4 linked regions of the Arabidopsis thaliana genome follow. The protein of the gene in region 1 interacts with the protein of each later gene in a pairwise test. Each region holds a gene or a part of one and is shown on either strand. Other genes may lie near its edges. The genes, in order: RHA1A, AT4G18205, AT1G52155 and AT3G17620.

The links.
Region 2: the proteins of RHA1A (region 1) and AT4G18205 interact in a protein complementation assay, tested with the Arabidopsis thaliana proteins (one large-scale study listed by BioGRID).
Region 3: the proteins of RHA1A (region 1) and AT1G52155 interact in a protein complementation assay, tested with the Arabidopsis thaliana proteins (one large-scale study listed by BioGRID).
Region 4: the proteins of RHA1A (region 1) and AT3G17620 interact in a protein complementation assay, tested with the Arabidopsis thaliana proteins (one large-scale study listed by BioGRID).

What each region holds. Positions count from the first base shown.
Region 1 is NC_003075.7:6,904,839-6,910,100, forward strand, and holds RHA1A (RING-H2 finger A1A), read left to right. Parts: upstream 1-2,649; 5' UTR 2,650-2,938; coding exon 2,939-3,418; 3' UTR 3,419-3,604; downstream 3,605-5,262. Other genes in the region: RHA1B (RING-H2 finger A1B), read left to right, coding at 1,228-1,701. UniProt on the Arabidopsis thaliana protein: Probable E3 ubiquitin-protein ligase that may possess E3 ubiquitin ligase activity in vitro.
Region 2 is NC_003075.7:10,071,086-10,076,949, forward strand, and holds AT4G18205 (Nucleotide-sugar transporter family protein), read left to right. Parts: upstream 1-2,625; 5' UTR 2,626-2,764; coding exon 2,765-2,795; intron 2,796-2,877; coding exon 2,878-3,980; 3' UTR 3,981-4,285; downstream 4,286-5,864. Other genes in the region: PUP7 (purine permease 7), read left to right, coding at 690-720, 803-1,944; AT4G18203 (uncharacterized protein), read right to left, coding at 1,659-1,835, 2,367-2,414, 2,566-2,574; PUP10 (purine permease 10), read left to right, coding at 5,090-5,120, 5,269-5,864.
Region 3 is NC_003070.9:19,414,437-19,421,506, forward strand, and holds AT1G52155 (uncharacterized protein), read left to right. Parts: upstream 1-2,997; 5' UTR 2,998-3,229; coding exon 3,230-3,367; intron 3,368-3,620; coding exon 3,621-3,697; intron 3,698-3,832; coding exon 3,833-4,061; intron 4,062-4,153; coding exon 4,154-4,308; intron 4,309-4,392; coding exon 4,393-4,438; intron 4,439-4,521; coding exon 4,522-4,613; intron 4,614-4,701; coding exon 4,702-4,798; intron 4,799-4,939; coding exon 4,940-4,996; intron 4,997-5,086; coding exon 5,087-5,155; 3' UTR 5,156-5,438; downstream 5,439-7,070. Other genes in the region: TRZ3 (tRNAse Z3), read right to left, coding at 6,475-6,801, 6,872-7,070.
Region 4 is NC_003074.8:6,025,176-6,030,999, reverse strand, and holds AT3G17620 (F-box and associated interaction domains-containing protein), read left to right. Parts: upstream 1-3,305; coding exon 3,306-4,502; 3' UTR 4,503-4,554; downstream 4,555-5,824. Other genes in the region: CHX19 (cation/H+ exchanger 19), read right to left, coding at 1-429, 510-1,511, 1,602-1,799; AT3G17626 (structural constituent of ribosome), read right to left, coding at 2,506-2,625, 2,780-2,821; RBL14 (RHOMBOID-like protein 14), read right to left, coding at 4,827-5,615.

The sequences.
Region 1 (5,262 bases):
ACTAGTCTTTAACATTATTTTTTTGTTTCTCTTTTTCAATTACCGGTAAGCGATTAGCCATTACGTGGATCATATAGTAACTTATATAATATGATTACATCTTTACTTGATTCAAAATGTCTCTACTACAACAAATTCTATATTTGCAAGCTAAGGATTACAAATTTGATATCAGTTTGTTGCTAAATTTTGAAAACTCAATGTGTTGCTAAATTTTGAAAACTCAGTGTGTTGCTAAATTTTGAAGGTTCAGTGTGTTGCTAAATTTTGAAAACTCAGTGTGTTGCTAGATTTTGAAGGTTCAGTGTGTTGCTAAATTTTGAAAACTCAGTGTGTTGCTAAATTTTGAAGATTCTGCATGACAAAACTTTAAAGATATTTCTGAGAAAACAAAGTGAAACGCTCTGACATTGGATAATTCATTGTGTCTCTTTGTGCAAACCGAATATAGAACTACGACAAGATGACTTCATCACCGTTATGTCTGAATAATAAAGTACTAAAGAGTGTCTAAATGCGTGCGAATTAAAGTATGAGTGCGTCCAAATTATGGGTTTCGTACCAAAGGCCCAATATCAAAGAATGTGTATCTTTTAGTGGGAATAATAAAACGACAAAAAACAAGGATAAATTCACAACAAAAAAATGGAGATGCGGGGTATCGATCCCCGTGCCTCTCGCATGCTAAGCGAGCGCTCTACCATCTGAGCTACATCCCCATTTGCTCTTCTATATGAAATTTGAAGTATATAATATCTCATGTAAGGAGAGAATCATTCTTATGGATTCAAGATGATTTTAGTTTGGTAGGACCTATAGATTCAAGATCGTGTTCATATCTTCACTATCCACTCTTGAATCCCTGATGTCAAGATCCCAATAAATCCATCATTCGGGTATTAAATTTCTACCTAATATTAAAATTTGTTTTTTTTGTTTTGGTATATACTAAAGAAGACCCTTAACGTCACCACATTATCTATCACAGAAAATTGTATTAATATATTCTCTTTGTTTCTATACCAAGCAAAATATTTTACTATTTTACATTATACACTAAATAAGACCCACCATTGTTGATCAAATTGACTATACTTATCTTGAGCCGCCGGATTCAATTATTATAACTCCAACATCAATCTCACTATATATTATACTTGTCTCTATAATTCAACAATTCAAGCTTTATCTCTTTCTTTCTCTCCTCTCTATCTTTCTCTCACACTCATGGGTCTTCCAACAGATTTCAAAGAGCTTCAGATTCCAGGTTACGTACTAAAAACACTTTACGTCATCGGTTTCTTTAGAGACATGGTCGATGCTCTTTGTCCTTACATCGGTCTACCAAGTTTTCTTGACCACAACGAGACCTCTCGATCCGACCCGACCCGACTCGCTCTCTCCACGTCAGCAACTCTTGCCAACGAGTTAATCCCGGTGGTTCGTTTCTCCGATCTTTTAACCGATCCGGAAGATTGCTGCACGGTTTGCTTATCCGATTTTGTATCCGACGATAAGATTAGACAGCTGCCGAAGTGTGGACACGTGTTTCATCATCGTTGTTTAGACCGTTGGATCGTTGACTGTAATAAGATAACGTGCCCGATTTGTCGGAACCGGTTCTTACCGGAGGAAAAGTCCACGCCGTTTGATTGGGGTACTTCAGATTGGTTTAGAGATGAAGTGGAGAGTACCAACTAATAATGATGGTTTTACTTTTACTTTTTACTTTTTTCACGGTAATATTTTTCTACTGTATAATTCTTTCTTCCAAACTACTGTATAATTCAAGTATAAGATTATGTAATTGTGTATATTAGCATCAATCATCTTTCTTTGTTAAAGAACCGTCTGTATAAAATCTTCCAATGTAATCTGCTTTTCTTTTATTTGAATAAAAAAGTGGACAAATAAACACATCAAGTGTTATGGTATATCGCTATGTTAGGAATCTGAATTCATTTTCTTTTGAAGAAAAACAGTATTCATAATCTAATTCGTCTCTACCAAATAGAATTTGTAAACAGTTTTATACCGAAAAATATCTTAAAGAAACTCTTAATTTGTCTATTAAAATCCATGATACTATTTTTATTTGTACTTTATAAATTACAGAATGAATTAATACGTAAACTACCTTAGTCTTTGTCAAAATTGATATAAAGCAATATATTTTATTCAAAAAAAATAATAGTTTAGAAGATATTTCATCCACTATAAATCTATATGTCTTTCGACGAAAAAAACAAATTTTTGCCTTTCATAATATCTATCAAATGAATCTTTTTTATCATATTTAAATTCTTTCTGTTGTACTTTATATAACTACTACAAAATTGACATAGTTTGAATTAAAGCGGATAATCGACTTTTTAACTGATATTATTTGAGTTTTGCTTTGCTAAAATCATATACTATATTTAGGAAGAATTGTTAGAAATGCACATTTTCCATTACCACTTTTCAAAAATGTCATCTCTCTAAAACATTTATCAAAAATATCTTTAAAATCTGAAATATACCTAAATAAGTGTAACTTTATAAGAAAACTTAAACAAACTACTTTTATACGTTTGTAAAACTTTATAAATTTTTGGATGGAGTCTCTGAATAGTCGTTACCATTTTGAAGTAGTATTAAAGAACTTTTTTTTCTTTGAAAAATCCTTTAAACAGTGTTATTAAAATTCCTTGATGTCAATAGTCTTTAAACTGTGTTATTAAAATTCAACCATTCACCGTTTTGCAAAGAAAAGTATATAGAATATGTATTCTCTTTTGTTTTGACATCAATTTGGTTATACTTATCTTCAGCTGCCGGTTTGAATTGTACTCCAAACACAATTATAAATCTCACCATTTTTTATTATACACACTTTATTCTTGTCTCTATAGTTCCACATCTCAATCTAGCTCTCTTCTCTATCTTTCTCTAAATCATGGGTCTTCCTGAAGATTTCATCACCGAGCTTCAGATTCCAAGTTACATATTAAAGATACTTTACGTCATCGGTTTCTTTAGAGACATCGTCGATGCTCTTTGTCCTTACATTGGTCTACCTCGTTTTCTAGACCACAACGAGACCTCTGCACCCGATCTGACCCGACACGCTCTCTCTACGTCAGCGAGTCTTGCTAACGAGTTGATCCCGGTGGTTCGGTTCTCGGATCTTCCGACCGATCCGGAAGATTGTTGTACGGTTTGTTTGTCAGATTTTGAGTCCGACGATAAGGTTAGGCAGCTACCCAAGTGTGGACACGTGTTTCATCATTATTGTTTAGACCGTTGGATCGTTGACTACAACAAGATGAAATGTCCGGTTTGTCGGCACCGGTTCTTACCGAAAGAAAAGTACACGCAATCTGATTGGGGTTCTGGTTCAGATTGGTTTAGTGATGAAGTGGAAAGTACCAACTAATTGGTTTAATCTATGTCGGCAGAATATTTGTTGTATCAATTCCAGTATAACTCTATGTATATTAACATAGATCATCTTTTTGAAGGAACAACACTATATATATCTTTATACAAAAACAACACTATATCTAAGGATGTCAAAATGGATAACCCAACTCAACTTAACTCATAATCAAATGAGTTTAGGGTTAAATGAGTTATGGGTTGACCCAACTCATTTTGTTAAATGGGTTGGGTCAACCCATAACTTATTTAATTTGATGAGTTGAGTTGTTAAATGGGTTAACCTATTTAAATAGTAATTTAATTAATTATTATTATAAAATAATAATAAATAATTATCAATATTAATTCATTATCATCAAACTTAGGATATTTACCGATTCCACTTTTTACGGATTTACGTTTTCGACGAGAAAATCACGGGTTTACGTTTTTGGCGGAAAAATTATGGATTTACGTTTTTGGCAGGAAAATCTCGGGTTTACGTTTTTGGCGGGAAAATCTCGGGTTTACGTTTTTGGCGGAAAAATCACGGGTTTATGTTTTTTTGGTGAAAAAATTACGAGTTTACTTTTTCTCAATTTCATCGTTTGTATATTTAAGAAATTTGGAAAAATATTAATTTTATTAAATTGGTTTAGATGTGTTGATTAAACTTAAATTGACATTGGTTTAGAGATTTTAGTTGGTTTAATTCAATTTTACAAAACTTAATGGGTTAATTGGGTAAACCATTGAAACCATTAACCATTATAACCCAACTCATTTTACTCATCAAACCAATTGACTCATCAACTCATTTGACCCATCAACTCATTTGAGTCAAAATTTTCAACTCATTAAGGTTCATGGGTTGAGTTGAGTTGAGTTGACCTATGAATTTTGACCCATTTTGACACTCCTAACTATATCTATTATCATCAGATCAATGTACCGAGTTATAATTTATTTTAATATATTTTCTTGTTACAAAATTCATTAAACATATGTTTTTTTCTGATGGTTTTTAATACTATATAAACTAAAGAATGATTAAATATGTACAACTAACTAGGTATTAAAAAACGATGTTTTTTAAAAAGAAAATAATAACTAAATCAAAGACTTTTTATTTAAAACTCCATTTTATTTCAAAGATATTACATCTTTTGAAGAAATGTTTTCATTTTTGATATACGAAAAATAATAACAATTTCGGAAACATTTTATTTCGAAAGAAATAAAAATCGAAAATAATAATGATTTTTATTTATTTCATGATTATATTTATCAGTTAAATCTTTTTATCATATTAAAATTACTTCAACGTACTTCATAATATATGAATTTGTCAAAAAAAAAAAAAGTTAATAAAAAATACACATTTCTCATATAGTATATGTACATGGAAAATATGGATTAAAGCAGGATATTCGACCTTTTTACTTTTGTTATTTGTGTTTTGTTTGCTCTGTTTAAAACATATACCATATTTTAATATTTGCTTTGAGTTATTATGTCTATAATTTTTTTGAATAATCAAATCAAATTTAACGAATATTTTGCCATGTCCTACTCCTAGCTACAGAGTGTACCATTTGATAATGATAGGTAACTGATATGGAGTATATACTAAACTAAATTCCTAGTATACAAGAATCTTATTTGTTTTAGTAGGTTTCGTTTTTTTTAATCAGAAAAACCAAAGTTAGGTAAAAGTTTGTCAACAAATCGTGGATCCACGAATACATCGAATATCGTCTACATTCATTTGAAGTAGTGAATGACGCAACCGTTGAAATTGAACAGTCAAGTCAAGTGTACACTTTTGAATCTTCAGTCTTCCAATGTGTGTAAATAAAT
Region 2 (5,864 bases), 3.2 Mb from region 1:
ATACCAATAGTTCGGATCTTTTTTACTTCTATATACCGGAGATACCCATAACTTAAAGATGCAAATGCAATACTCTGCTTTGTCATTTTGCAATGCATTTGAATCACCAAAAAACAAGAGCAAACATCGATAGCAGAGAGGCAAATAGGCTAAAGCATCCTTGGAAAACCAGAGCTTTGAACAAAAAAAAAGAAACAAGTGAACAAAAATAATACCCACTTACCTGGAAGCCACTGACATAACAAATAACCAATGTAGTGACTTGAACAGTGCCTTGTAAAAAGACTCCTTAAAATACCAAAAACGTATACTCCAGGAGCTTGGATTCTTGTATCTTTGTTGACTTCTGATTAAACGTCAGTAGACACTGAGAAAATAAAAAAAATTCTCGTAGAGCCGCCATTCAAAAGTTTCAAGAATTCCACAAGTCAAGTGTAAGCAAATAAGAAAAGTCACCGGTCAACATGAGACTACTAAATAATGATACTGCTACTGTCATCTATCGCCTGCCCCATCCATATAATACGATTTACTAAAAGCCTGCCATGTTTGATAATGCAACTTGTGTAGGGTATTTAGATGTTTTTTTGTAATACCATCAATGTGTGTTTAAAGAAAGGCCTCTTGTGTATCTGCACGACATCTCAAACAAAACCAATCAATAAAAACAAGAAACAATCTTCTTTCTCATGGACAGATCTCAAGAACACTATGCCAATGGTAAGAAGAAGCACCTGATAAAGTTAGATCCTTGAATTCATTTTTTCATGAGATATAATAAACATGAGTGTTAATTTTTCAGGTGACCAGAACTTAGAAGCAAACCTTATAGATCATGAGGTGGTAACTGAATCATCATCATCAGCTGTGCCTCAAACCGAGAACTATAAAAGGTGGCTTCGTGTCTCCATATACGTAATCTTTGTCCTCTTTTGCCAGCCACTAGCTACAATTCTGGGTAGATTGTACTATGAAAATGGAGGAAATAGCACATATGTGGTAACACTTCTTCAACTCATTGGCTTCCCTGTACTGGTTCTGTTCCGCTTCTTTTCTCGAATCAGGCAACCCAAATCAACAGATACAAATTTCAGTCAGTCCCCTTCCTTCACCACCCTTGCATCGGTTTACTTGTGCACTGGACTGCTAGTGTCCGCTTATGCTTATTTGTCTGCAGTAGGGTTGCTCTACTTACCAGTCTCTACTTTCTCCCTCATCTTGGCCTCACAGTTGGCCTTCACTGCCTTTTTCTCATATTTCCTTAACTCGCAAAAGTTCACTCCTTTGATAGTCAGTTCTTTGCTTCTCCTCACTGTATCCTCTGCTCTTCTTGTGGTCAACACTGATTCAGAAAACTCAACTAATGTATCTAGAGTACAGTATGTGATCGGGTTCATATGTACCATCGGTGCTTCCGCTGGGATTGGACTGTTACTATCTCTGATACAAATGCTCTTCAGGAAAGTTTTCACGAAGCATACATCCTCAGCAGTCACGGACTTGGCCATTTACCAGTCTCTAGTTGCGAGTTGTGTAGTTCTCATAGGACTTTTTGCAAGTGGAGAGTGGGAAACTTTGCCAAGTGAGATGAGAAACTACAAACTCGGGAAAGTGTCATATGTTTTGACTTTAGCCTCGGCAGCTATTTCCTGGCAAGTCTACACTCTTGGTCTTGTGGGATTGATCTTCGAGTCATCCTCTGTGTTCTCCAATTCCATAACAGCTGTGGGATTGCCTATAGTTCCAGTTGCGGCAGTGATAGTTTTCCATGATAGAATGGACGCATCAAAAATCTTCTCCATTATTTTAGCTATCTGCGGCTTCCTTTCATTCGTCTATCAGCACTACCTCGACGAAAAGAAGTTGAATACTAGCCACACAAGTGCTGTAGGAGATCTTCATCTACCTGTTGAGGAAGGTCACACAAACATACAAAGTGTGTGATCAAAGCATATTTCCAGTATAAAGCCAATGTATCTTTCTTTTTTTCCCCTCAAAGGCCAAAGCCAATGTATCTTTGTACAGTTTGAGCATAAAAAACGTGTAACGCTACTTTGCAAACTAGTCAGTCATAATAGCTAATAAGTTTTGTACATATGATACCAATAATTTCAGAATATTTTTCTTCTATATATACCAATAAGTTTTCTTAAAGATGCAAATGCAATACTCTGCTTTGTAATTTTGCAATGCATTTGAAACACCGAATCAAGAGCAAACAACGAAGTCAGAGAGACAAATAGGCTAAAACAGAGCTTTGAGCAAAAAAAAAAAACAAGTGAACAGATATAATACCCACTTACTTGGAAGCCACTGACATAACAGATAAACAATGTAGTGACTTGCAACAAAACTCCTTAAAATACCAAAAACGTATACTCTAGGAGCTTGGCTTCTTGTATCTTTGTTGACTTCTGATTTAACGTCAATAGACACTGAGGAAAAAGAGTTCTCTTAGAGCCGCCATTCAAAAGTTTTAAGAATTTTAAGTCAAGTGTAAGCAAATAAGAAAGGTCAATGGTCAGCATGAGACTACTAAATTATGATACTGCTGTCATCTATCACCTGACCCATCTTTATTATTATACACAAATTAGTAAAAGTCTGCCAAGTTTGATTAGTGCAACTTGTATCTGGGGTATTTAGTTACTATAATAAATATCATTTTGTGTATAAAGAAAGGTCTCTTCTGTATCTAAAAGACATATCAAACGAAAGAAATCAATAAACACAATATTCTTTCTTCCAAATTTTCTCATTTCTCATGGGCATATCTCAAGTACACTATTGCAATGGTAAGCAAAAGGTACCTGATGACGTTAGATCATTTGATCCTCTTTCGATGAAATATAATAACCACGAGTGTTAATTTTTCAGGTGACCAGAACTTAGAAGCAAACCTTCTAGATCATGAGGAAACTGAATCATTTTCAGTACCTCAAACGAAGAACTGTAAGAGGTGGCTCCGTGTCTCCATATACGCAATCTTTGTCATCTTCTGCCAACCACTTGCTACAGTTCTGGGTAGACTGTACTATGAAAATGGAGGGAAAAGCACATATGTGGTAACACTTCTTCAACTCATTGGCTTCCCTGTACTGATTCTCTTCCGCTTCTTTTCTCGAATCAGGCAACCCAAATCAACAGATACAAATTTCAGTCAGTCCCCTTCCTTCACCACCCTTGCATCGGTTTACTTGTGCACTGGACTGCTAGTGTCTGCTTATGCTTATTTGTCTGCAGTTGGGTTGCTTTACTTACCAGTCTCTACTTTCTCCCTCATCTTGGCCTCACAGTTGGCCTTCACTGCCTTTTTCTCATATTTCCTTAACTCGCAAAAGTTCACTCCTTTGATAGTCAATTCTTTGTTTCTCCTTACGGTTTCCTCTGCCCTCCTCGTGGTCAACACTGATTCAGAAAACACAACAAATGTATCTAGAGTACAATATGTGATTGGGTTCATCTGTACCATTGGTGCTTCCGCTGGGATTGGATTGGTACTATCTCTGATACAACTGCTCTTCAGGAAAGTTTTCACGAAGCATACATCCTCAGCAGTCCTGGACTTGGCCAATTACCAGTCTCTAGTTGCAACTTGTGTGGTACTCATAGGACTGTTTGCAAGTGGAGAGTGGAGAACTCTGCCAAGTGAGATGAGAAACTACAAACTGGGGAAAGTGTCATATATCTTGACTTTGGCCTCAGCAGCTATTTTCTGGCAAGTATACACTGTTGGTTGTGTGGGATTAATCTTCGAGTCTTCTTCTGTGTTCTCCAATTCCATAACTGCTGTGGGACTGCCTATAGTTCCAGTTGTAGCAGTGATAGTTTTCCATGATAAGATGGATGCATCAAAGATTTTCTCCATCATTTTAGCTATCTGGGGCTTCCTTTCATTTGTCTATCAGCACTACCTCGACGAAAAGAAGTTGAAGACTTGCCAGACAAAACCTGTTGAGGAAGAAACACAAACTTTATGAAACAAGTTGTATCGAAGGTCTCAGAAACAAACATACATAGTTGTACACAGTCATGTAAATAACCTATATAAAGCTTGTATGTGTAATATCCGTAATGGTCCATGCAAATGGGATATGTATGTCGCTCATATTTCAGGTATTTAGAACTTTTATTCAAAAGAGTATTGTGTAATACGAGCAGAGTGATAAAAGCAGTCATTTATTTAACAGAAAAACCATGTCAATTTTGTGATACTTTCATTGTGTGAGTGTGAAACCCGATAAAAATTGACCAGTTAGCATAACTTACAGATATGTCAATGCAATATTCTCCTTTCTAGTTTTGAAATGCACCTAAATCTTGGGAAACAAGAACAAACAGCAAATCATGTATAATGAGAGATAGAAGATAATTTGTCAGATTGGTCCAACATCCTTGGGGAAACAGAGCTTTGAACAAAAAGTAAATGACCAGAAATAATACCATTTTATATAGCGACTTCCTCTGCCGTCCAGTATTAAGTTGTTGCGAATGTCTTCTCTTGAAAAGATAGGCGAGACATAATCTTTAGCTAACGTCAGCATCATCTTGATGGCAAAAACTTCATGACTAGCCATGGAAACCGAAGTGTGTACCCAATCCAAATAAATTTAAAAAGACAAATAACTTTTAGAAATGTCGTCCTCATCAAGATCACAGAATACTACAACTTGTGTACACGTTCATACATATGCGTATGCGTGTTAAGTTTCTATTTGTCTATGCGTATGGGGTTCATGTCCTCCACATAGTTGCAGAAGAAAGTCTGAATGAATATTGCCTACACATAATTTCCTCCTAGACTTAACTCATCTCTTGGTCAACAATAGAGGCATCTTTGCATGTAGAAAGACTACAGATACTAAATTCATGGAAAGAGAAGAGATATGGTTGGCATTTACTGAATGTGGGGCCAAGAACAAAGAAAACTTAGACGGTGACCGATTCCTAATCCCAGAATATATAACTTAGCATATCTCACCCATATCAAAGGAGCAATCACTTGGTAGCATTATCAACCAAGAGAATTGATAATAAGATACGTTAGTTCCTCCTTGTCCATCTCCAAGGTGGTGATTCCACATCCACCATGACGGCGGATCAAGAACTACAAATCATTGGTGAGTAAGCATAAACCAGTTTGTGGTGAACGTCCTATTCTTTCATCTTCAAAAAAAAAAAAGATGGTTATGATATTTTATAATTCAATATATGAAACGATCGACAACAAATAAACTAATTTTTGCGTTATTTTCACTCACTTACCAGTTCGGCAGGGAAAAGAACCAAATCCAACAGTTCAAGATGAAAGAAATTCAGTCAGTAGCAGCCAAGCAGAAGTATCTCACTCTAACACATACAAACGGTGGCTCAGGGTGACTTTATATACATTCTTTGTCATTTCAGGCCAAACAGTTGCTACAATTTTGGGCAGAGTATACTATGACAACGGAGGAAACAGTAAATGGCTAGCAACGGTAGTTCAACTTGTTGGCTTTCCTGTGCTACTTCCATATTATATCTTGTCATTTAAAACACATGCAACAACTGATAGAGATGGAAAAAGAACCTCACCTAGGAACCGTGTATTGGTTTACGTAGTGCTTGGACTTCTTGTAGGAGCAGATTGCTATCTGTACTCCATTGGACTTCTTTACTTACCCGTTTCTACCTATTCCCTGATCTGTGCATCTCAGTTAGCCTTCAATGCTTTCTTCTCTTATTTTCTTAACTCACAAAAACTTACCCCTATCATTTTAAATTCTCTTTTCCTCCTAACTATATCTTCCACCCTACTTGCATTCAATAATGAGGAGACAGACTCCACAAAAGTTACAAAAGGAGAGTATGTCAAAGGTTTCATA
Region 3 (7,070 bases), on another chromosome or scaffold:
AAACTTTTTTATATTTGCTCGTGACTATAACACAGAATCACCGAGTTGACTCAGCCATTAGAAACCCCGATTCCACCTCGAAACGAAGCCATAATATTATCAGTTCTCAAACCCATATTCTCCTTCTTCGAGCTCTCATTGAAATAAAAATGAAAACTTTAGAGAAAAGAAAAACCCTAGAAATTTATTCGAAGAAGGAAAGAGGAAAGAGGAAAGTAGAAGAGAGGATGAAGAAGAGATGTATGTAGAAAACGAATCATGGAGCTACTGTACTGTTTTGTTGTTTTTAGATGTTATCTACTTTGTGTGTTTTTTTTCCTCTAGCTCGTTCATGGCAACTTTGATTTTTTTTTTTGGCCTTAAAATAATAATATTATTTTAATAATGTGATTTGATAGTGCTGTTGCGTTTGTGAAATTAGCTTTTTCGTTGGCATTTTCTTTTGTTTTTTTTTATGATTGGCACATTTCAATTTCATAAACCAACAAACAACAACACCTCGAGGGAAAACCAAATTTCTCTTGTTTACTCTACGAAAATGGTCTAAATAGGTATAATTGTCAAAAAAATTGTTCCAAAAGGTTAAAAAAAGGTTAATTAAAGCTTAAAACATTCTCAAATATATAATCAGTGAAAATTGTAAACGAGAAAAAGGCAGTCAAATTGAAGAGAAAGGCAATCAAATGCTTATACTAGTGTAATAAATTTTATTTTTTTGCTATTTGTGAAAATTACCTATTGTTATACTATAGTTTTTTTATTATACTATAGTTTTTATATTTATAAATAAAAAAATTATGGTCATGCAATTTTCTTTTTTTTTTTAATATTTGAAAATTCAGACTCAAAAACACTCGGTTAAATTCATCTTTTATGGAAAAGAGATTCATCCCAATATGTTTCGAACTCAGCACTTCCACCTAAAAGATTTATCACTGAACTAACAGCACATTGATATGGTCATGCAATTTCTTCGATCTAATCATGGAAAACAACATAGATAATGTTAACGTTTAATGTTGTAATGTTTGTGACTAATCTCTAACGGATGCTAATCTTATACTCCTACATTTATGCCCACAATATGAAATTAATGAGGTTTATACCAATAAATATTACTACTTCTAAGTTTTAACTAGTAGTAAACGAGTGGTAAAAGAGTGAATAGGAGGGTAATAAAGGTAAGAAGGAATGGGGAAGGTCAGAGGCGTATAAAAAATAACAAAAGGCGTGGGAGAGAGGTCTGCGTAGGAGACAGAGACAACATCATTACCTTCTTTGCATGCGTCTCCTCCGTCTTAAAGCTGAAGCTTCACTTTCTTTCTTTCCTTCTTTCTTTTTCTCTATTCTCAAATTTCTTTCTTTTATTTTGTCAACTCTCTTTCAAATATTTTAATTTAACTAGTACTATTCCTTCATTTTCCCAATAATGCCTGTAAAAGAATTGTATTATACTACTGATTTGAATTGTTCATCATGATGAATTCAATTCTTCTTTAAGTGGTTTCAATTCAAGTCTTAACTTTTTCAATTACCAATATATTTTCATTATAGAGTACGTACACACAAAAAAGTGTAGAATTGACTGTTTTAATTAAACGTTGGACCGCTATCTTCATATCGGGCCTAAATTCAGCCCAGTCCATTATGTATCACGGCTGTTGCAATTGGTGGACTTGTTTCATATAGGCTATATAGGTCACTGATATTCAATCTGTCCACTGATTGTTCTATTTGGAAAAATAGAATGATTAATTTCGTTTGTTTTTTTACTCATAACAAAAAAAGATTGCTATATTTGCAGGAGATTTTTCTACTGGTTATAGTTGATTGCTTGCTTCGGTTCATGCAACTGCCAAATTAGTGAAGCAATCTCTCTGCTTTTTCAAGATTTAGCTTCTGGTGTATCTACATTATGGCCTGTATACTTTGGAAGATGGATCAGATCTTTCGTCAGATGCTAAATCTTATAAAAGAAATGTTTTTCCATAGTTATGGAACGAATATCACTGTTCGGCAAGTCAGAATCAAGCGGACCCTTGACCCAAATGAAACTAGGAATAAATTCATTATTGTAGTCAAAATGGAGGTGTTCTTGTTGCTTTGCTTCAAGATCCTTTTCTCTAATGATCTCAAAGCTCGTCGACTTGATGATCTGATGTTAGGTGTTTAGACTTAGAGGTTTAGCATAGCTGAGATTTAACATCAAATGTTATTCTGATCAAATTAACATTGTTAATTGTTATGGGAAAAAAAGACATTTGTTAAATGTAGATTGTAGTAAACCTAAATGGATAATGTTGATTACATATAAACATTCTTAAGAAATAGTGACATGCTTGCATCTTTCCCTACGTGAATCTTTCTCTCTGCCCGTTATATATTTTAATCTTCTTGCAGATACTTGTCCGAATATATATCATCAACCTACAATTTTTTTATTTTACATATGCCACGAAATTGATGTTTTGACTTTAATTTGATTTGTAGTGTCTTCCACGTTCCTTTTTTTCTATAACAACCAAAATAAGCATATGATTTAAGTGGTAAACTGCACCACGAAATTATAGCAACGAACTACATAGATAATACATAACATATAAAATATCAAAATCAAGAAAAAGTCACAACGACCAACAAAATTACATAAATTAAAAAAAAGGGTATTGGTGATCAAAACTCAACGACAAAAAGGAGAGAGTGGGTTAGTTGAATGACCATTTTGTTCGCATGTCTGCTCTCTCTTCTCCACCTTCTTTTTATGCTCCCCTATTCTCCCGACGACTCAAAAGTTCAAAACAATAAACACCACATTTATTTATTATTAATTATACAAAACAAACTAAAATTAATTAGTTTATGATTTAAAGTTTATTCAGGATAATTTATTAAAAATTTAATAGCAATTTTTATTATATAGAAAACAGAAAAATGATACAAATATTCGGATTATTTTATGAGTATACAAATTTTAGTTGCATTAAATGAAACTAAGCAATTAGTTGGAGATATTAGTGGAATTGATCTAAGGGCAGTTAAGTCTCAATTAATTGGTTTATCCAAAAAACCAAGATTAATTAGTGCAAAAGACAAGTGTCAATAGTACAGAGATTCATAAATAGAATTAGAAACCCCAACAAAAATGTGAAGCTTCCAAAAAAAAAGTAAGTATCAAAAAAACAGAATTTTGTCTTCGTTCTTCTCTGAGATTAAAGCTTTCTCTTTTGTAATGGAAGAATCTCAGGGCATCAATGGCGTCGATGATTCATATCGTCATCTCCCAATTCTCTACTTAACCTTTTTAACGATCTGGTCTTTCTCCGCTTGTTCTTGGACGGTTAACACTTTCAAAAATCGCCACTTTCAGGTCAATAAATCTCCTATTTTTTCTCTATCTTATTTCGATAAATTTTGGATTTTTCACTCTTGGGTTTATGAAACTTCTTCTCAAATTCCAAATATTACTCAAAATTTAATCAATTTTTTTTGCAGAATGGTACTTGGGATTTATTGTTTTAATCATGAATTCAGACGATTCTGTTTTTGATTTGTCTCTTTTATGTTTTTCATTAAGGAAGAAACACAATTTGATTTTGGTTCTGTGTTTTTGTTTAGAGCAGACAAATAGTTTACAATGGACTCTTGCTTCAGTTCCATTAATCAAAGCCTTACAGCTCACACTATCTTTCCTCTTTTGGTAAGTCCTCTTTGTGAAGTTATTGTTTCCATTAATGTTACCTTGTCATATTGAGAAATTATTTCTCAGTAACCTTTTTATCGAAAGATCGTTTTCGAAGTCTCTATAGTTGATTAATCTGTTATTTGGTGGCAGGCATTCATGTTTTCACCATCACATTTGCTCTCTATGGATGTCTTTTGGTGTATATGTGACTGGTGTTCTGTTTCAGACAGCTTCATTTGTGTCTTTTTTACTTATCTCTCACGGTTATTGCATCACTTGTGAACGGCTCTCGTTGACCGAACGTAGAACTACAGCTTCACTTGGTTGTGTCTTTTATTTGACTCTTGTTGGATACAGAGCTTCTGTTCCTTATTTTGCAGTGAGTTTTTACCTTTTTCACCTACTCATTAAAGCTAATCTTTTACTTACTTACAAGATGATGAATGAACCAATCTTTTTTTGCTCCTCCAGGTGCTTCTGATACTTAACTACATGATCTCATTCTATGTTATATTCCATCACATATCGCAAAATCTAGCGGTGTTACGAGAACAGCTGAGTTTTATCGAAGATGAGAATGTTCAAGCTATGCATGATGCTGTATATGCTAAATACATCATGTTCAAGTACGTTTTTCATTACCCTCAGGTTTGATGGTTGATGGAAGTAGATAATCTGCTAAGAGTTTTTATTTATGTTTATGGTTTCAGAAAATTCCAAGGAGCTATGCAGATTGTAGCAATGGCAGAAACTGTGGTATGACCAAATCTTTCTTGATTGACATCATGTTGAATTTACTGCTACATTGTTTATACTCACACTCACTTTAAATTATGCAGATCTACATGAACATGGATAACTCCTCACAAAACTATTGGCTCAGGCTACTAATTCGAGAATGGGCTCAGTTCTGCATTTTTCTCTATATTGGGTAAGTTATGATCCCACTTTTCAAGTACATTTCGCTGTTCTTGCTTTGGTCAAGAACTAACAATGCTCCAAACTATATACTTTGGCAGTTGGACTTTCAGGTCTCAGGATATGGCACCGCGTTTCTCGGTAATGCCTACACTAAAACCGAAAGAGAATACAATTATTCCTCCGATTTATAGCATGGTAAGTGACATAATGTAAACTTCCTTTTGCCTTGTAATATCTTGCATTAACCAAAACATAAAGCTTATTTTGCTTTGCTTATATGTGTTTTGGTTTTGAGTAATGTTCTACTTATGCTAAATCTATATACCAAAATATCAGGAAATGGACGCAAAATCTTTCAAAGAATTCAGAAGTCAAGAATGGAACATCGGAGTGGTAAGTCATTTCATTTATGCTCTTGTTCCATTGGATCATCAAGCCAGAGTTTTATGTAAACTCATTCTGTGTTTAAATCTCTTTTCGCAGCCAATGCCATATTCAAACTACGAAAAGCAAAAAGATTCAGTTCTAGTGATAATTCAGCATCCGCGATAGCATTTAGAGAGAAGCAAAAGATACAATGTTTTCCTCTATCCATCTTCCTAAAGAGAGTGAAAGATCACCAAAATTGACAAAGTTTCTCTCTGATTAAGACAAGATGCTTCCTCAGCAACTACCTTTCTCTCTTTCCATTTACATTTTGGGGTTTCTTATCTTATAGAGGAATAAAATTTGTATAGATGCAAAAACTAGTTCTAGTATAATGCTTCAAATGAAAATGTAAACACAAATCTTTCATCTTTTTCTTCACAAAATGAAACAAAAGAAACATTTAGAGAAAGCAACTCCAAATCCTTTTAAGAAAAAATCTCTCTTCTCCACATACTCTACATATCCATGCCCAGTTTTTAGTTTGTGTTCTTGAATTAGTCAATCTATGTTATTGAAAGGATTACTACGTTGTGGTATTTAGGATTTTGGTTAGTTAAGGATTGGCCAAATCAAGAACACAAACTAGAGATTTAGTGGATTAAATTGAGTGTATGGATCAATCCAAACCAATCTAATCCATGGGTTAATTGAGTGGAGAATTTGGATCTTAATGGATAATGGGTTAATGGGTTTAATGAATTGGATTGATATGGGTTAGATTAGAATGGATTAGTGGGTTACTATAACCAAACCAATGGAAAGTAAACAATCTAAATCAAATGTGTAAACCAAAGATAACCGAATCAAATGTCTAAACCGATTTAAATAAACCGAAGTAAACATGATTTAACTATTAAAACCATGAAATTAATTTTACCGCATTTTTCCGCTAAAAACATAATTTCGTAATTTCCGCCAAAACATAATTCCGTATTTTTTTTGGGTCAAAAACGTGATTCAGTATTTGATAGCTATTTAGATTATAGAAAAACTATAAACTGGACAAACTCATTTAATCCATTAGTCGAAGATGATGACTTGTTATTTTTTTTATTTTACTTTTTACTAATCATAAATTCAGAATTAAATTCATAAATTAATTAAATTTAAATTAAATTTAAAAATTCATATTAAAAAACTTAAATTAATTGTTTTATCATTTTTCGTGGCGGTGCAAACATGAAAACTAGTTTGGAGATTTAAAGTGTTAGCAAAATTATTTTGGTGGTTCATAATATTAATGAAATTCTTTCTGGGTTTAAAGCGCTACCAATAACACTTTGAAGGTAAAAATATGATTTTCCCGAAAAACAATTGCTAAATTAACACAATTAATATGTCAAAACTATAGCCCAAATTTCAAAATTTTCCATTTTACTTTTCTTTCAACCACAAGAGAGCAAACGAACAATAATGAAGATCTATTGCACTGTTTTAAGTCATCACAAAGCTTCTTCCTTTAAGTCATCCATGGCAACATCATCTGCATCCTCATCTTCAACCATCTCATCTCTGAAAAGAGTTTTGAAATACGGCAAAACCTTAGGAAGCACATGCAAATCCGCCATGTTTATACTCATCAGATCAAAGGCAATGCAGGTATTATGCATATGCGACTCATCAATCACTGGAATCTTCGGATATCTCTGGCTAAAATGTGTGAGAACAATCCGATACACATTCGCCGCAGATCCCACATCGATTGCTTCTTTAGTCGTGCTGTGATTCTTCGCCAAAGCTTCTTCTATCAACGCATCTTCAAACGTTGCCTGTCAAAAACAATCAGTTTATGAATGTCGAAATCTAACTTGTAGAATTGTGTTAAATAACAACTTTTACCTCATGTATAAGAATTGTTGCATCTCGTGATGCTTCGACCGTCTCAGGGCAAGGTCTTGAGTCGCCCGAATAAACCATTTTCCATCCAAGGATTTGTTCTCCAACACTATTTACTCTTTCAGCTGCCTTGATAACAACACCATACGCTTGAGGACAATGTACAACAGGAAAACTAATCAAATCATTCAATCCAATTTCG
Region 4 (5,824 bases), on another chromosome or scaffold:
AGTCATGGGTCTAACCGCTACTGCTCGTAGATGCTGGTAAGCCTCGAAGGCAATCACCATCTGGTCCGTTGATCTCTCGATCTTATTCCAGATTGGGAGACCATTGTTTCGAGCTTTGTGAACCATCGCGATCGCTGATGACCGTTCAGAAAGCTCCATCAGATGCATCGCGTAAACGCAGAGGCGTCCCTTTTTGCCTGTTCCTCTTGATGATTCGATCAGATTGATCAATGTGGGGATGTTACGGGTACTGTGGAAGCAAGCAAGTATCCTTAGCTCAGAATCATGATCTTTTCTTTGGATGGTTCTGTGCTTGTACGGTGCTCCTTTTCTTGCAGGCTTGTAAATAAGCATCACAATTGGAGTTGTGATGAAGGTTGTGAACAATGCCATTAGGACTAAGATCGCAAATGCTTGATCATTCAGCACCTGCTCACAAAAATCGTTATTTAGATAACTCGGCTTTTAAATGTTTTATAAGTCTTATTATGGCTTTCAAGAATCTATACCTTCCGGTCCTTGCCAATGTTAAGAACAATGAGCTCTACTAAACCTTTGGTATTCATAAGGAATCCAAGTGTCACGGCTTCTCTGAAAGGAACCTTGCAGAGCATCGAGGAACCAACTGTTCCTACAATCTTCCCGAAACAAGTGGTGAGAATGACAAGAACTAGAAGTCCCCATGACTGTGCTCCCCTGATCGTTGTTACATCAGTTTTGAGACCGCTAGCCGCAAAATACAGAGGTAGAAGAAGCCCCGAAACAAGATCCTCTATCTTCTCAGTCAAAATCCTGCAAAATGGTCCTTCTTTAGGAGCTACTATACCTACCACAAACGCCCCGAACAGCGCGTGTATCCCAATAGTGTCTGTCACAAAGCTTGCTGCTAAAACCACGGTTAGAGTGACACAAACATAGAGTTCCTTTACAGGCTCTCCCTCAGGACAGCGTCTAGCCATATAAGCAAGCAGAGGTTTGATTGCCACAACTGCAAAGATCACGAATCCAGTTCCACAGAGAAGAACCCAAACAGATACAAGAGGAGAAGTCCCATCTCCTGAGAGAGCAATAGCAAGCGCAAGGAGTATCCAAGCTGCAACATCGTTTACTCCCGCTGCAGACATTGCCATACGTCCAATGTCAGTTGTTAGAAGCTTTAGCTCAGCTAGTATACGAGCAAGCACAGGGAAGGCAGTGATTGATAAGGCAACACCCATGAAGACAATAAAAGGAAGCTGATCGACTCCTTTGCTTATGGTGGCACTGAGAACAAAAGATGTGCCTACACCCACTATAAAAGGAAGTGAGATCCCAGCTATGGCTATCAATAGTGATTTCTTTCCAGTTTTTTTTATTGCTGCAAAGTCAAGCTCAAGCCCAACTAGGAACAAGAAAAACAGAAGACCAATGTTGGCGAGTGTGTCTAAAACGGTCAAGCTCTTCTTTGGGAAGATGGTGTCAAGATAGGCCTTGCTTCTCCCTAGTGCAGAAGGTCCAAGCAGTATCCCTCCCTACAGAACCATCCCTTTTAGTCTCTTTTGCTATGTGATTTCATCAAAACAGAAAAAGAAAAATACAAAGAGATTGAGTAGGAAACTCACAATGATCTCAGCAATGACTCGGGGCTGTTTGAGAGGCTTAAGAAAGTAAGCTAAGAGCCTTGTAAACACAACCACCAAGACGATTTGTAGGATGATAAGAGGAAGCGCGAAATCAAGAGGGCTTTCGTTTTGGAAGGCTCCATTGGAGGTAGCCTTCATTGGACCCGGGCATTGCCCTGTAACGTTGGTGCTTGCCATCCTAGTGGAGATCTACTTACAGGTTGATGATTGGTCAAGAAACGAGATACTGCTTCACCCTTCAATACTGCCTTGGCTGCTCCCTCATTGCATTGCCAAACGAAGTATGAGACCTGAATGGGAGGAAAAAAAAGAAATCAAGATTTTATTCTGTTCTGTTACTGTTTTTATTAAACAGAATCTACATTAAAGAAGTGAGTATATAAAAGGAAAAAACAGAAAACTAATAACGTCTATAGTTTGCTAATAATAGGTAGATGAGATAGAAGCGGACATACCAACTCCAGGGTGGGCATATACCTCGCACTTTTCTATTTATAGACTATCAGTTACTTAACTTCCAACCATATCGCATCTATACTTCGCAGATATGAACTGCCTTCACTGCGCCGAAGTTTTCGTCTCTGTCTTTGTCCTTCTGTCCTAAATTTGCAAGCACTTGTACCTGTCTCTTAACTAAGCAGCACATTTGATGTCTTACCTTCTGAAGCTTTGTAAACATCAACCATTTTCAAATATATTATCATCGTATAGACGATATAAACATTCTTGAGATGCATAAGTAGTAAGAACAAATGAACACATTAAAAAGGAAGAAGTTAACACTGTTCCAAGCCGACTAATCTAAATTTCAATCATGGGTTCTATACAAGCAAATTTCTGAGAAGGACAAAACAAAAAAAGACTTAAAATTGGAGACCGTGTTCTATTTGCTGAAGCAGCTAAAGCCATGGTAAGTGTAAATTGCACGGTCAAAGGCCACCTTTGTGATCCCATTCTCTACGCAGGATTTTTCTATAACTTCTCCAACTTTCTTAGCCATTTCCTAATCAATTCCAAGAAGAATCAAAGTTAGACAGTGTCCAAGAGAAAAACAATTGAAGCTAAGGGTCTCATGCTAAAACTTGAAAGGTTTCGGCTAGAGAATTTTGTAGATAGATTGTAGTTGAATTCAAAGCAGGTGGTAGTGAAGAACTCACAATGGTAGAACCAGTGAGCAAAAGATACAGAGCCTTGGCCATGGTCTGAGAATTGAAGGAGCTTTAAGCCACCGTACTGAATTGGAATCGGCGTCGAGGCTGTTCTCAGCGAGCTCAGACGCTGGATTACATCACCCTCTATATTTTGTAGGTTTCGAATCTTCGGTGGCTCTCTCGGTTCAATCGCCGCAGTCGGAGAGGAGAGTCTTCCTCCTCCATCTCCACCGCAAGAAGCGACCGTCGATCATCTCCCCCGCCATATACAAATGAGAATCACTAAAAAGTTTTTAACTACAGTTGGGCTAAAAGCCCAATAATAAAGCCCATAAATGAAACGACATCACAGTCATATAAATAAGAGTTCAAAAAGATGAATAATTCCGGGAAATTTTTAGAGGGCAGAGTTGTGTTTCGGCCCAGCTTGAGTTAGGGTTCCTGTGGGGAAACATGAGAGCTTTTTACTGAAGTTTCAAACCTAACTAATTTGTGTTACATCGATCCTTGTTCAAATTTGAAAGATTTGAAGATGATGTCCGATCTTCCAAGAGATTTGTTGGAGGAGAGACTCTCTAGGGTTCCGGTGAAATCATTGAGAGAAGCGCGATTTACCTGCAAAAATTGGAAAACATTATCCAAAAAGCGGAGCTTTACAAAGAAGCACCTTGCTCAGGAAGCAACATCAAGGGAAAGTGAGTTTAAGGTTGTCATGGTCTTGCATTGTAAGGTTTATCTAACGAGCATCAACCTCCGTGGAATTCACAACGGCTTTGACCCGTCTATAAACCGTCAAGCTAAACTTGTTAGCCTAAACGGTACAGATCAGATCGATATATCTGAAGTATATCACTGCGACGGTTTACTGTTATGTATCTCGAAAGACTACACTAGGGTCGTGGTTTGGAATCCGTATAGGAGCCAAACTTTGTGGCTCAAACCCAGTAGTCCTGACCATAGAATGGACTGGTATATCTGTGCTATAGGATACGAGAAGCGTAAATCAAGCCTACGCTACAAAGTTTTGCGATTCGTTGATTTTGCCGAAGAAGAATTTGTTGAGTACGAAATATACGAGTTAAAGTCTAATTCATGGAGGGTTCTCGATGTCACTTCCGACTGGGAAGTAGAGTTTTATGCACGAGGTGTCTCTCTCAAGGGAAATACTTATTGGTTTGCTACAGACAAGTTTCCAGAAATCAGCAGTAATCTTATACATAGTGTTTATTTCTTGCTCTGTTTTAATTTTACATCGGAGAGATTTGGGCCGCGTCTTCATTTGCCGTGTTACCCTATGGATGTAGATACTGTGAGTCTTTCTAGTGTTAGAGAAGAGCAACTTGCTGTGTTATTTCAGCGTAAGGACAACTTACATATGGAGATTTGGGTTACGACTAAGATTGAACCTGAAGAGGTGATGTGGAGCAAGTTGTTCTTAGCAGTGGATATGCAACCACTCACTGATTTTAAGTTTGGAATTGCAGATGCGAGTTTCATCATTGACGAAGAGAAGAAAGTTGTTGTAGTCTTTGCTAAAGACAAAGATGTAATGTATCCCACTCACAACACAGCTTACATCATTGGAGAGGATGGATATTACAAAGAAGTGGATCTCGGAAAAACTACTGATAAAATTCGAGATCCACTTGTGTGCTCGTATGTTCCAAGCTCAGCGCAAATCAAGCAAGGAGGCAAAAGGAAGAAAAAAGGGAAATTGATTACTGATTAACATTTATATCTTGCTTTGTGATCTTCTTCTTTCAACAAAATTTGGTTTGAAATAGGATAAAATTTTGTTAAAATCGAAAGTCTGTGAAACTGTAAGTTTGGTGTGAAGATACTATATTATCTGAATCACTCGCTACTTTCAGCAATCTAATCAAAGGACCAGTTCACGTAGAACCAAATCTTCAACAACAAAAGAGAAGACAAATTGAAGAAACAGATCGAAAAACACGACCACTAACTCTGCTATTCATAAGCTAATGCAATGAATGATTCAACAAAGCTTCATTCACAATCCTTCCTCAGCTTTAAGAATGCGCTCCCGAGATCAACTAAACCTCTCTACTCTTCGACGGCGCAGCTCATCTAAAGGGAGATCATTAGAAGAAGAAAGTGCTGGTCCCTGATTCAGTGACCATCCATTTCCTCTAGCCCGTCCCGAGCCACACATCTCGCAAGCACTTAACCAACCAGAATTGTCATATGTACACGACTGACATCTCCAAATACCAGGTCCTGCTATCCCAGTCTGACCTCTTCCCACTCTTCCTCTCCCCGTAATCCTCCTTCTCCGAGACCTAACCATACCATTCAGAAACCTCAAGGGCCACGTCACCAATCGAGATACACCTCTAACCGCCATAGTGACTGGATCTGAGCCTGAGTAAGAACCTTTCAGCTTCAAATAGATAATACCAGCAAGGATTCCACCCAAATGCCCAAGAAACGAAGCGTTAGGTACAAACATCTGCACTAGAATCAATTCTGCCCAAGCAGCATACTTTGTTGGAACCAAGATACCATACACACTTGAGTAATCCTCAGCTTGAGAATTAAGAACAACTTTCATAGCAAAGAGAACACCCGAGAACCCAACCGCATACTCGTTGTAGTAAGCTCTGTCATAGTCAAACAAGAGAAGAAGCGATTTGGCTAACAACAATGTGACTCCTTGAGACATACCAATAAGAGTAAAGACCATTGAAGCAAACTCACTGCTTCCCATTGATGTCTCAAGCTTGATACCTTTCCAGAGAAGTGACATCATGTTATAGACTAAGTGAGGCTCGTTAACATGGTAGAACGCTGATAGAAATAAACGCTTCAAGTCCTTATGCTGTTCAACAAATACACATCAAGATTAAAAAAAAAAACTTTAACAGAGAATAGAATTAATCAATCAAGAATGATCTAATTAGATATCGAAGAACAAAATCCCTAATTCTCCAGATATTGGTACAAATTTCCCAGGAAACTCAAATTCGAATTTCAGATCGAAATCGGTCAAATTGCAATCAATTTCTCTTGGCGAATGAAGGAATTTAT